3 linked regions of the Diceros bicornis minor genome follow. The protein of the gene in region 2 interacts with the protein of the main gene of each other region in a biochemical or structural test. Links are inferred from orthologs where the notes say so. Each region holds a gene or a part of one and is shown on either strand. Other genes may lie near its edges. The genes, in order: STX3, SNAP25 and CPLX1.

Region 1 (3,746 bases), on a different chromosome or scaffold from region 2:
AGGGCTGAGAAGGGCAGGGTTCCACCTTCCCGATCGCGTACAGACGGTGTCTTTATGGGAGGCAATGAAGTCAGCATGGAGCAGGCACTCAGATCGCAGAAGAGGGCAAAGTTCTGTTAGAATTATGAAAATATTTACAGTCCTGTGACCTGAATGCATAGAGCACCTTCTCTTCCTGACTTGAGAATTGACGGCCGCATATGTCTGCTGGATATGTCATTTGTTCCCAAGAAGGAAGGCAAACAAGGAAGAGGGAAGAGAGGGTAGGGGTGGGGAGAGGAGAGGGGATAAACAGGGAGGGGCAGTGCGAAGAACCCGCCCACCTTTTCAGAGGGTACACCCACCTGGGATCTTGACACCACGTAGGAAATGAGAATGGCTTACGCTTTCCAATACAAACATCTATCTCACAACGCTGCTCTATAGGTGACGAATCAGTCACCCCTCCTCTGTCACCCAGGCCTCACAGCAAACTGTGAATTGGGTGTTATCTCTGATTTATTGATATGGAAACGGAGTCCTCTAGAGAAACAGCGCCTTTCCCAAAGTTATACAAATTGCTATTGGCAGGTGTTCTGACTTCAACACTGAACTGCTCGCATTTCTCTGCGGAGTCCCGATTGCCAACATGATGAAATCCAAATGCTTCGTCCCAGCCCGTCCCGTCCCACCTCATCTCTGGTTATTTCCTCTAGGAACGTCCTCTTTCAGATCCAATATGCAGTCCCCCACACTGTTCAAACTCCGTGACTTGGAATGCCCTTCCTCCAGGCGGAATTAGTTGCTTTTTCTCCCACCTATTATAGCACAAAACACACCGTCTTAGAGTTCTTTGTTTAGCAACGAATGAGTCTGTTGAGGCTGGATCCGAGCACGGAGCCTGGCACAGGTAGTGAATTGCTGTCGAATAGAAAGGATGGAATTGAGGTCAAACAGACCCCCTCGCTCTTCCTCGGCCCTGCGGCGGCATCTACCAGTGCCGGACCCTCTCCGCGGATTTCTCTGGTCCCTCGAGGGACCCGGGCTAGGGGAGGTGGAGGGAGGGCCGCCGAGGGCGGCGGGGCGCGGGCCCTTTAAGGAGGAGCGCGGGGCGCGGCCCAGGTGAGGGGCGGGTCTGCGGGCGGATCAGCGCTGCGCGCCGGCGCCGGCCCGGGAGGCGGATTCGGAGCGCGCGGCGCCGGCGGGGCCGGAGGGGGCGGCGCGGCGGAGCTTCTCGCGGCCTGGGACGCTCCTCCTCGCCGGCGGCCGCCGCCCTCCTCTGCCTGCGCCTCCAGCTCGCTCGCCCTGGCCGGGCCCGGCTGCGTCTTCCGGCCGCTCACCTGGGACGCGCTCACCTGGGCGCCGGGGCAGCAGGATGAAGGACCGGCTGGAGCAGCTGAAAGCCGTGAGTCCGCCGCCCCCGGGGCCGGGTCCCGCCGGGGGTGCAGCTGCGCGGGAGAGGGGCTTCCCTACCTTCGCCAGATCGGCGCTGGAGCGGGGCCGAGCGCGAGGCCTGCCCTCCCCAAGCCCCAGCGGCATCCCGCGCGCGTTCCGCAGCCTCCCCTCCCCTCTGGGGTCGTGTGCCGGGTGATTCCTGGCTAGGCTGCGATTTCCCTGGATGACAGCGTCTGTCCAGAGCTGGGGTCCGCGCGGGGTGCTTGGGCCTAGCGGAGCTTTCTGTGGGGTCAGGGGTCACCTCAGCCCTTACCCACTGCAGCCTGGCACTGTGCCCAGGACCAGCCTTCTATCTCCTTCCTTGTCTCCCGAGCCGGCTGCCCTCTCCCCCGGAAAGCTCCTGGGTGACCTCCGGAGCTGTGAGCTGGTCACGTGCCAGGATGGTGCAGCTCCTCGCCATCCGGCAGTCTATAATTATTAATTTCTCCTGAATCCTCAGGACAGCTGGATAGGGCAAAGGATCTGAAGGTAGACCGCCTCCAGCCCTGCCGCACAAAAGCTGTAAATCCTTAGGCTGCTTATTCTTTTGAGCCTCTGTTTCCTTATCTGTCAAATGGGGATGATCATACCTTAGAGATTTGTTATGAGATCAAATGACATAATAACCCTCGATATAGAAAAGTGTCAAACGTGAGTTTTTGAGTTAGATATTCATTGACTCATTCAACAAATAATTATTGAGTGCTGTCTAGGGGGCAGGCCCTGTGCTAAGCCCTGGGGATTGGGTGACACAGGCTCTGTCTTAATGGAATGTAAAATCTAGCTCTTGATACAAAGTCTTCCATCTACTTGGGAGCTTGGTAGAAATGTAGAAGCTTAGACCCCAGTCTGGACCTACAGAATTAGAATCTGATTATTCACAAATCTCCCCAGTGATTCGTGAGCATTTTGGGAAGCAGGGGGCTGGATAGAACTGGGGTTGCCTCCTGGCTCCACTGCTAACTAGCTCTCCTTTAACCTCTGAGTCTAAGTTTTCTCATCTTTACAATGCGTGGTTGTGAGGACTAAAAGCAAGAGAGCGTGCAGAGCCCTTTGGATGGTGCATGACACATATAGGGCGAATAGATGGTAAATATTATGCTGAGAACTGTAAAAGCTCCTTGGAAAAATACAGGCCTCATATGAGTGTGAGGGACTCCTGGGATGATGTCGCAATTGTTTTTCTTTCTCCTCCCTCGTCTTGGGCGAGACCTTCATGACCCTTTCACCTGCTCTGGGTAGTAGGGCGATGGGGAAGTGAGAGAAGCAAAGGGACAGTTGCTGATTGTGGGGTGAGCCTCCCTGCCTCCTACATGTCATCTGAGCCTCACAACATCCCGGTTACGGGGCAGAATTTATGGCCCCTATTTTTCTAGATGAGGAAACCAGAGCTAAGCCTGGGTAGGCAGGATGCTGCGGGTCACAGAGCTGGTCAGGTCACAAGCAGGGGAGGAACCCAGACTCCTAACACTCTTCATGGTGCTCTTTCCCTGTAGCATGCTGGTTGGGGAGGCAGAAAGGAAAGAGGACCATGGCTTTTGAAGATCTTCCCTTATCAGCACACGCAGCAGTCATAAAACAATGCAAAACTGAACAGCAGGCAGAGGCGGCTCCCTTCCTTTAGTTAGGAAATCCATAGAGGAGGATACTCCACGGCCCCTTTCAAAAGCCCATTGTCAACAAACAGCAAAGAGTCTTCTCTGAGCTTTGGGTTCCAAGTATAAATTCAGGTTGCCAGGGAACCCAGGCAGTCCCTTTGCTTCTCCGAGCCTCATTCACCCGCTGTAAAACTGAGCTAATGCTCTGTTTCCTCCCTGCACCTCTTGGCGATGTGGTGAAAGTGAGACTATAGACGGTGCTGTTATTATGGGGGTGCTGTTCTCAAGTCATGGGTGCTGCTCTAGCGTTTTGGAGCAGGGAGATGGGTGTTGACACTGTGCAAAGAGGACTGGGCTGCAGGTTGAAAGGGTTCTAATTGTGGCTCTGCCACTTAATAGCTGTGTTGTTTTGTGTCACTTTACTTCTCTGCTTCTCTATTCCCCCTTTGCAAAACCAAGAGTTGGGTTGATCTCAGAAGCCCCTCCTGGCAATATTAAAATATTAATGTTTTCCAAGAAGACTGTTGTTAAGGTTTATATACATTTTGGTTTCTAGTTCACCTTCTGCCCCTTTCCTCTGGCCCCCAGGAGAGAGATCGCCCTCACTACAACAAGATTACTATCTTCTCTCTTTGATTCCTTTTATCAACGAAAGGCAAGGCGTTTGTTAACAAGGCTTTTGTTAACTCGCATCAAACTGATTTTACATTGAGCAGCCTGTGCAATCTCTTTCTG
Region 2 (3,746 bases):
CCCGGAAGTCTGGACGGTTTTATAAGGCGTGTATGCGCCTCTGTGGACTATTCCTAAGAAATGCAACATAAAACCGCAGGCTCCGATTGCAAATTCAACTGAAGACAGCGTCCTCTACTTTGCCCTCCGCAAACAACTCTCAAACTCCAAGCCTTAACTCCCGCAAACCCACGCTAGTTGGGTTAACCACCCTTCCCCCCCCTCCCTCCAACTCTGATATTTCTCAGCGATAATTGCTCTGACGTAGTTTAAAATAACGTGTACCAGTCTCTCTCTCCAACTGACCACGTTAATGCGAACTGCAAGCTCTCGATGCTCCTTTGATAAAATGAAGAAATCACTCATAAAAATAGCAACCCACGTAGCCTGGCCATATATGGAGTTGGTGAGGGCTGACAGGGATGCCCCTTCGGACCCTCTTCTTTAGAAAAAATAAATTGCAGCTGAAATCCACCCCCCGCCCGGGCCTTCCCCTCCCCTTCCATGACTCAACCAAAGACTCAACTTAGCAGGGGAAAAAATTTTACATATGTAATCGCATATATATCACACATACACATATAGACACACAGACATACACATACGCACACATATACAAACAAAACAAAGAATATCAGAAAATCAGTCGCGAGATAAATGTGTTTGCCCGAGACTGGGTGTTAAAACGGAGTCATAAGAATCGTCCCGTTTGGGTGTTTGTAAAAGACTAAAATACAAAGGTTTGCAGTAAAGTGCACAGGGAGCTGACTCAAGCGCTCCGCATCTCGCGGCTCTTCCCCTCCCACCCCAAGCCTCCAGCCTCCATCCTCCCTCCGCCCTCCCCCAACACACTTCCTCTCCGCCCCTCCAGGAGATGGCTATTAAAAGCTGCTGACGTCAAAAGGGACGGCCATCTTTGATGAGGGCAGAGCTCACGTTGCATTGAAGACGAAACCTCGGGGAGGTCAGGCGCTGTCTTTCCTTCCTTCCCTGCTCGGCGGCTCCTCCACACTTGCAACCTGCAGGGGCCGGGCGAACACCACCCTCGAGAGAAGCCAAGGTAAGGAGCCCCCTCCCCAGGTCGTGTTTCTGGCTCTGGCTCTGGATGGCTGCATACCCAGAGGGGACCACAGCTGGAGAGGCCAAGTGAGCTTGGGTAAATCCAAGTATTTGTGCACCCAGGGTGCGGTATTCCATGTGTGCGCGTCTAGCTAGACTCCCGCCTGGGGCTTTATAAAGTATTTTCGAGGTGAGCTGCTTGGGGAAGGGATGAATGGGGACACTGCAGATGGAGCGATGGCGAGGAAGCGCGAGGATACGTACCGAATAACTTACTCTTTTGAAACAGTAGTGGGACTCTCTCTCTCTTCCATTTTGCGATGCAGTTTTCAGAGATGTTTAGGCTGCTGGTTTTTTTTTTTTTTCCCTCTAGACCAAAACAAACAAACCCTGTCGTTCTGACCCTATTATTATGACTGTTGTCGTTAGGGCGCTATTATCCAGGGAAGAATTAGGGAGAAGGCAGGGTACGGGCGCTGGGGAGGCGAAAGAAGGGGGAGTTCCCGGCCCGGGCAAGGTGAGCTGCAGCAGCGACAGCAGCCTCCAAGCCCCACAGACTTGATTTATGCCGCCTGCTCCACGTCAACTGCAGGCTGGCGGGAGGCGGGCGGGTCGTGCTGGGTGGGAGGGCTCTGCGGAGGGCTGGCGGGGGTTGGCTCTCCTCGGGGACTGCGGAGGCCCACACTCAGCACCCTGGACAGCAATACCGAGGGACCGCGCTGCAGCCTGCGACCTTTCAGGACCTCGGACAGCGGTCTGGCCGCGCACCGCATCTACCTACGGCAGAGATGCCTGGCCAGGGCTAGATGTTCCAGGCTTGGAGGCCAAATTGCCTGAGACCCCGGTCTTACAGAGACCCCTAATAGACCAGGCATAGTAGGTTTAAAAAAAAGAAAGAAAAAATAAATCCTGCCCACAGGGACTCCTTTGCAAGCAATTACCTGCTCCCATCCTCAGCTCCTGCATAGCTTCAAAAAATAATAGTCTACTTGTGGAAATTTGTATTGCCCTATTCCCTCTTTCAGGTAGGAAGTAAACACACTAAAAAGAAAATATGCATTCATCCTCCGGTTGGATATCAAGGGTTTTGTTTGTTTTTGTTTTTAACACAAAGTAGATCTATCTACGGATCTTGAGTGGACGTGAATGAGGTATATATGAAGATGCCAGCATGACCTGTTTATAGGAGTGATATATCTCCATATATATATTTCTATTTGATAAATATATGGGGATAGTTGAACTAAGCAGAATCAACTTTAAGAATGAACCCCTCTTCTTCTTCGTTCTCCCCCATCCTTGTAGTTAGGCATGAACACAAGCATATCCACAAAAATACATCTCTGAGAAATGTGACAGGTCATATAGGGTATAGATTTAACCTATTTGGCCATGGTTTCAGAGTGAGTGGGAGTATTTCCTATGGACATTGGTTATCCCAGGCCGATAGTTTCTGATTTTGACAACATTAAGACTGGTTTTCCTCAGGAGAATCCAACTGTGTCCTTCAAGATAACGCAGGTGAAAGGACCATGGTGTTAGACTGAAACTGGACTCTGACCTAGAGATCTACTGCAATTTCTATTACGGCACTGCAGGATTTTGCTGAGGTGGTAATAAGTACTTTAACTATTTTCTACTCTGAGGCTTGGAGCCTCTGAGAGAAAAAAAAATTGTCACAGGGATATTTCCAGCTGTTTGATATAGATAAAATTGGCATAAAATGACCAGGAGTAAAATTGTACTGTTTGAGTAGTTGTTAAATAAGGGGAACAGTGTCATATGTAAGAATATACACAATGCTTTAAAGAAAGGCTATCATGATCCCCTGAAAAGCCTCAAAATAAAATCTTGGATTGTATTTAGTTAGTCATAACTCCAGTCATTTATATACTAGAGGTACTGAAATGCCTTGTCCACAGAGAGAAGTTACTCTCATTCCCAGCTATTTATTTCCTAGTGTTTTTCATTTTTATGGATAACCATACGTTTCCATATAAGAATATATTGATGTTATTGTATATGGGTGTAAAATTATTATTCAAGAGTATGTAACTGCATGGAAGAATTTTATAACTCTGCAATCCGCAGAAGAAATAAACAACTGTGTTGTAGTGATGGTAGGAGGGGCGAAAAGATGGGTAGGAGTCTTTAAAAATGCTTTGACTTCATGCTGCATGTCCAGACATGTCTCTGCGTAGTTGCGTCAAATGAAAAAGCCTAACGCTGCCGGAATTACGTGCTTGGACATTAGTAATTACCGCTGGGCTTGTTTGCTAGTGGAACACTGGGATGGGGGTGCGGAGGTAGAGGGCTGCAGTGAAGCAAAGGGCACATATCTGGGAGGAAGTGGCAACGTGCAGAATTATGGGGCCAATTCTAGAATAGGTTGCTGAGAAATTAAAACAAAACACAATTGAAGCATGAAGCTAACATTTAAATTGTTGACAAGCTTCAGGAAAAAATCAAGAGATTTCCTATTTTAAGTTTTAAATTTTAAAAATCCAGGGCAATACGGCGAGAAGAAGCAGGAACAGATGGACATAAGGATGTGCTAGGAAACATTCATGCAGACCCTCTAATGCTACCTGCTCGTTTGGTCTTTGGCATTTTATGCATTATCACCTTGGCAGTCAGAATACAAAATAATTTATAATCTTCATAACCTTTCCATGGTAAAATCTCCCAAGAATTCACAATTTTATTTT
Region 3 (3,746 bases), on a different chromosome or scaffold from region 2:
CGTGCCAGTGTGGACCTCGGCCCACTGCCCCACCCACCTCCTGGGCCAGAGCCTCGGCCCACTGTGCTACACTCCCTTCCTCTCCTGGGCCAGGCTCTCTGGCCACAACGACAGCCTTGAGCCAAGTAGGCACAGGATTCCCTTCAAACAGGAGTCAGCAGGGTTGGAAGGGGGGTCCCCTTCCCGAACACACACACAAGAGGCCGCTCTTCCTCCGTGGAAAGGGCCGGTGTCACGCAAGCCTCTTCTCTTGTCCCTGTGCATGCCCCGACCCTGGGTGAAACCCACAGGGTCCTGACTGGACACCACAGGTCCAGCTCTGGCCCCACAACCCCACTCCAGCTGCTGCAGCCACCCTGCAGCCTCCCATAGCTCTGCTCACTAAAGCAAAGCCCCAGTGGGGGCCGCCGGACCTGCCCGTTAGGAATGGGCCTTGGTGCCCCTGAAAGCCACCCTGAGGTGTCTTCCCGGGCCGAGTGGGGGTGCTGCTGCTCGGCCTTTGACCCCTGCCTCAGCACCGGCTGCAGGGCTCCACCCTGACCACAGTGCTCAGCGCAGATCCTCCCCCACCCCCAAGGCTGGCCAGGCCCTGCTCTGCCCAGAGGGGCGAGCAGGTGTGTCTGCGGGGATGTGATGTGAGCAGGCGTGTGTGAAGTCTGAGGGTGACCACGTGCCACGTCCGCATGCCGCTGCAGTGTGCGGGTCCGCGACCAGGTGGGAGCAACATGCCCCACACCGCCTCCTTCCTACCTCCCAGGGCCTGCTTCATCACAAACTCCATGACGACGGCTTTGTCTCCTCAGCAGTTCTTGCGAGGGTCGGAATTCACATGCGAGTGTGGCCAGGAGTCTTCTGCCTGGAGGAAAGAAGTGGTCACAGGTCACCCTGACCCTGGGCAGGGCTTCTTACTCGTCCCCGCCCGACTTCCCCTCAGCATGGGTCAGGGGTCTGAGAGAGCATCATTCGTCGTCCCCCACACCTTGTGCCTGGACCCCAGCACTGGGAGGGTCTCCGTGCAGGGGTGCTTCCACACTATACTCTGACCAGGGTGGGCAGATCCCAGGACCCCAGCTGGACCTGCAAAGTTGTCTCACCCAGCCCCTGGGGTTTCTGAAGCCAGCTTTTGGCTGCTACTGCAGGGATGGGGGTGCTCGCAACTTGGGGGGGGGTGCAGCCTGTGTGAAGCAGGGCCAGGCCCAGGGGGCGTTTGAAGGTGACTGGATCTGCTGCCTCTTTGATGGGCCCTAGGCCAGAGGGGGCGGTCCATCCAAGGGACAGGAGAGTTAGGGTGGATGGGCCCTGAGCCAGTGCCCCTTCAGGGAGGTCCCTTCGGCTACTGATCGGGTAGTCTCGAGAGACCAAGCTCTCTCCACAGGAGGTCCCAGCGCCCGCTACCCCCTGCCCACAGCAGAGACTGGGGTGGGAAGGAGAGAGGGCAGGGGGCCCGGCCTTCAGGGAGCAAATGGAAAAGGGGGACAGACCACCCCTCCACTTGCATCTGCATGGGTGGGGCGCCCCAGGCCAGCTGGAACTCCGGTGGGGAGATGCTTCCTGTAAAATCAGCAGCTGCAGTGCCCCCCCTCGTGAGGTCTCCTCTGGCAGGGAAACCCAGGTTCTTGGAGATCCAGTGCTTTATGAATTTTTCCTCCGCAGACGCAGGAGACCTGAGTGTGTGCGGGCTGGGAAAGGGTGGCAGGCAGGGAATGCCGTACCCCACCCCCCAAAAGGCGCTGGCGCGCACGGGCGCCTTTGTCGCAAAGCAGATTTCTTCCAAACTTCTCCCCTGGCTCCTGGTGGGAGGGAACCGCAGGGCCCGCCGCAGAGAGGCCCGGGGCGCAGCTGGAGCTTCCCCAGGGCTCCTGCAGCCGCCGCACCCCTTTCTGCCAAGCGGCCCTCAGGCGGGGGCGCGCCGGGAGAAGGAGGAGAGACCGCGGACGAGGGAGGGAAGGGCGACGCGAGAGGCCGGAGACTCGGGGAAGGAGCAAGAGAGGGAGCGCGCGGGCCGGGACCGCGGGGCCGCTTCAGCACCGCGCGGTGGACAGCGCCCGCGCGGCCGAGAGCGCGCCCGCGGGGAGGGGAGGGGAGGGGGCGTCCGGGGAGGAGGGGCGTCCGGGAAGGGGAGAGGAGGGCAGGAGGGGTCTGGGGAGGAAGGGTCCCGGGAAGGGAGGGGGTGTCCAGGGGGGGAGGGGGCGTCCGGGAAGGGGAGGGGAGGGCAGGAGGGGTGTGGGGACGAAGCATCCGGGGAGGGGAGGGGGTGTGCAGGGAGGGGAGGGGAGGGGAGGCGGGGAGAGAGGAGGGGGCGTCCGGGGAGGAGGGGCGTCCGGGGAGAGGAGGGGAAGGGGCGTCCGGGGAGGAGAGGGGAGGGGAGGAGGGGTCTGGGGAGGGAGAGTCCGGAGAGGGGAGGGGGCGTCACGGGAGGAGGGGGGGGGCGTCGGGGGAGGGGAGGGGAGGGGGCGCAGGTTACCTTCTCCGGGTCGGGGCGCTGGGGTCAGCGGCGGAGCGCGCTCGGGCCGGCCGGGTCCATGTGGCGCCGGGAACTGCGGCGGCGGCTGAAGGGCACCGCGAGGAGGGCGCGTCACACGGAGCGTGACGAGGAGGGCGGGGCCGCGGCGGCTCGGGAGGGGCGGAGGGGCGGGGCCGCGCTCCCCTGCGCTCCGGAACCTGTCCCGGCCCGGTTCGGGGGATCCCGGGGCCGAGCTCTCCGGCCCGCCCAGCTGCGCAGACCCCAGACCCTGCCCCGCATCCGAGCTGCCCGTGTGGACCCGGGCGGGTCCGCTCCCAGTCGGAGTCCGGCTTCCCACCCGCTCCTGCCCGCTCGGGGCGCCTCGTGAGCGCGCGCGGGACCCGCGGGAAAGTCCCTTCCTGTCGCCGGAGCGGGCAGGGTCCGGGGTTGGGGGTGGCCGCCCCCTCCCCATTCCACCCGGGGAAGGGGTTCCCCGGCGCAGGCGGTGACACTGGCCCCGACCGCCGCCGCTCTGGGGCCTCCTCGTCCCGCTGGGCGGGAGAAGGGAGACCCCGGACTCCGGAAAACCCAGCCACTCCTGGCAGAGAGAGAGACCCGCGGCCGGCTGGACGCATTTCCCAGTGTAATAGAGTCGCCGAGCTTTATTTTAGTGGACTGGGGCCGAGAGACCCCCGCCCCTTGGAGGCCGGCAGGCCCCCGCGGGGCAGGGACGCGTGAAGGTGACTGCGGACTGAGCCGCCCTGCCTCCACCGGGCCTCCGGGATTTCCTCTGCGTCCGGAGCTGATAGGTCGCCACCGGCCTCCCATCCCGCAGCCCCTCCACCTTGCTGTCCCTGCGCGTGTGGGGCGGGGCTGCGGGAAGGGGCCGGGCTCGCAGGGGTCCCGGTCTCCCAGAGGCCTAGGGCCGGCCTTCTGGTCGGCGGGTGGACACCCTTGGTGGCCGCTGCATTAACTTGTCACTGTCCTCTCCGCCGGGTCGTCAGGACTCGCTGGGCCTGGGGGGCGGGGGCGGGCGGGTCCTGGAGCTGTCTGTGACCTTCGCCCCGCAGGGGAGCCCGCTGCTCAGGCTCCTCTGGCTTTTCCCTTCAGCCCCCCCAGGACGCTCAGCTTGAACTCCAAACTCCCCTGGCTGACCATCTCCAGGCCCGACTGTGCCCAGCAGTGGCCTGACAGGGGCCCTCAAGGGGAGGAAGGAGGAGCAGGAGAGGGCTGGAGGAGGCCAGCACTGCCCTGGGAGTGAGCAGGGGACACCCCCCACTCAGCTGCCACTTTGGTCAGCGTG

Evidence for each region.
Region 1: the proteins of SNAP25 (region 2) and STX3 form a complex in vitro, tested with the Homo sapiens proteins (2 studies listed by BioGRID). The link is inferred for Diceros bicornis minor from reciprocal best matches to the Homo sapiens genes SNAP25 and STX3.
Region 3: the proteins of SNAP25 (region 2) and CPLX1 are reported together in a solved structure, tested with the Homo sapiens proteins (2 studies listed by BioGRID, with this or other methods). The link is inferred for Diceros bicornis minor from reciprocal best matches to the Homo sapiens genes SNAP25 and CPLX1.

Annotation. Positions count from the first base shown.
Region 1 is NC_080770.1:13,471,090-13,474,835, reverse strand, and holds the start of STX3 (syntaxin-3), read left to right. Parts: upstream 1-1,212; 5' UTR 1,213-1,354; coding exon 1,355-1,384; intron 1,385-3,746. UniProt on the Homo sapiens protein: Potentially involved in docking of synaptic vesicles at presynaptic active zones. Apical receptor involved in membrane fusion of apical vesicles.
Region 2 is NC_080758.1:37,757,120-37,760,865, forward strand, and holds the start of SNAP25 (synaptosomal-associated protein 25), read left to right. Parts: upstream 1-936; 5' UTR 937-1,039; intron 1,040-3,746.
Region 3 is NC_080747.1:262,123-265,868, forward strand, and holds the start of CPLX1 (complexin-1), read right to left. Parts: upstream 2,547-3,746; 5' UTR 2,465-2,546; intron 857-2,464; 5' UTR 782-856; coding exon 751-781; intron 1-750. UniProt on the Homo sapiens protein: Positively regulates a late step in exocytosis of various cytoplasmic vesicles, such as synaptic vesicles and other secretory vesicles.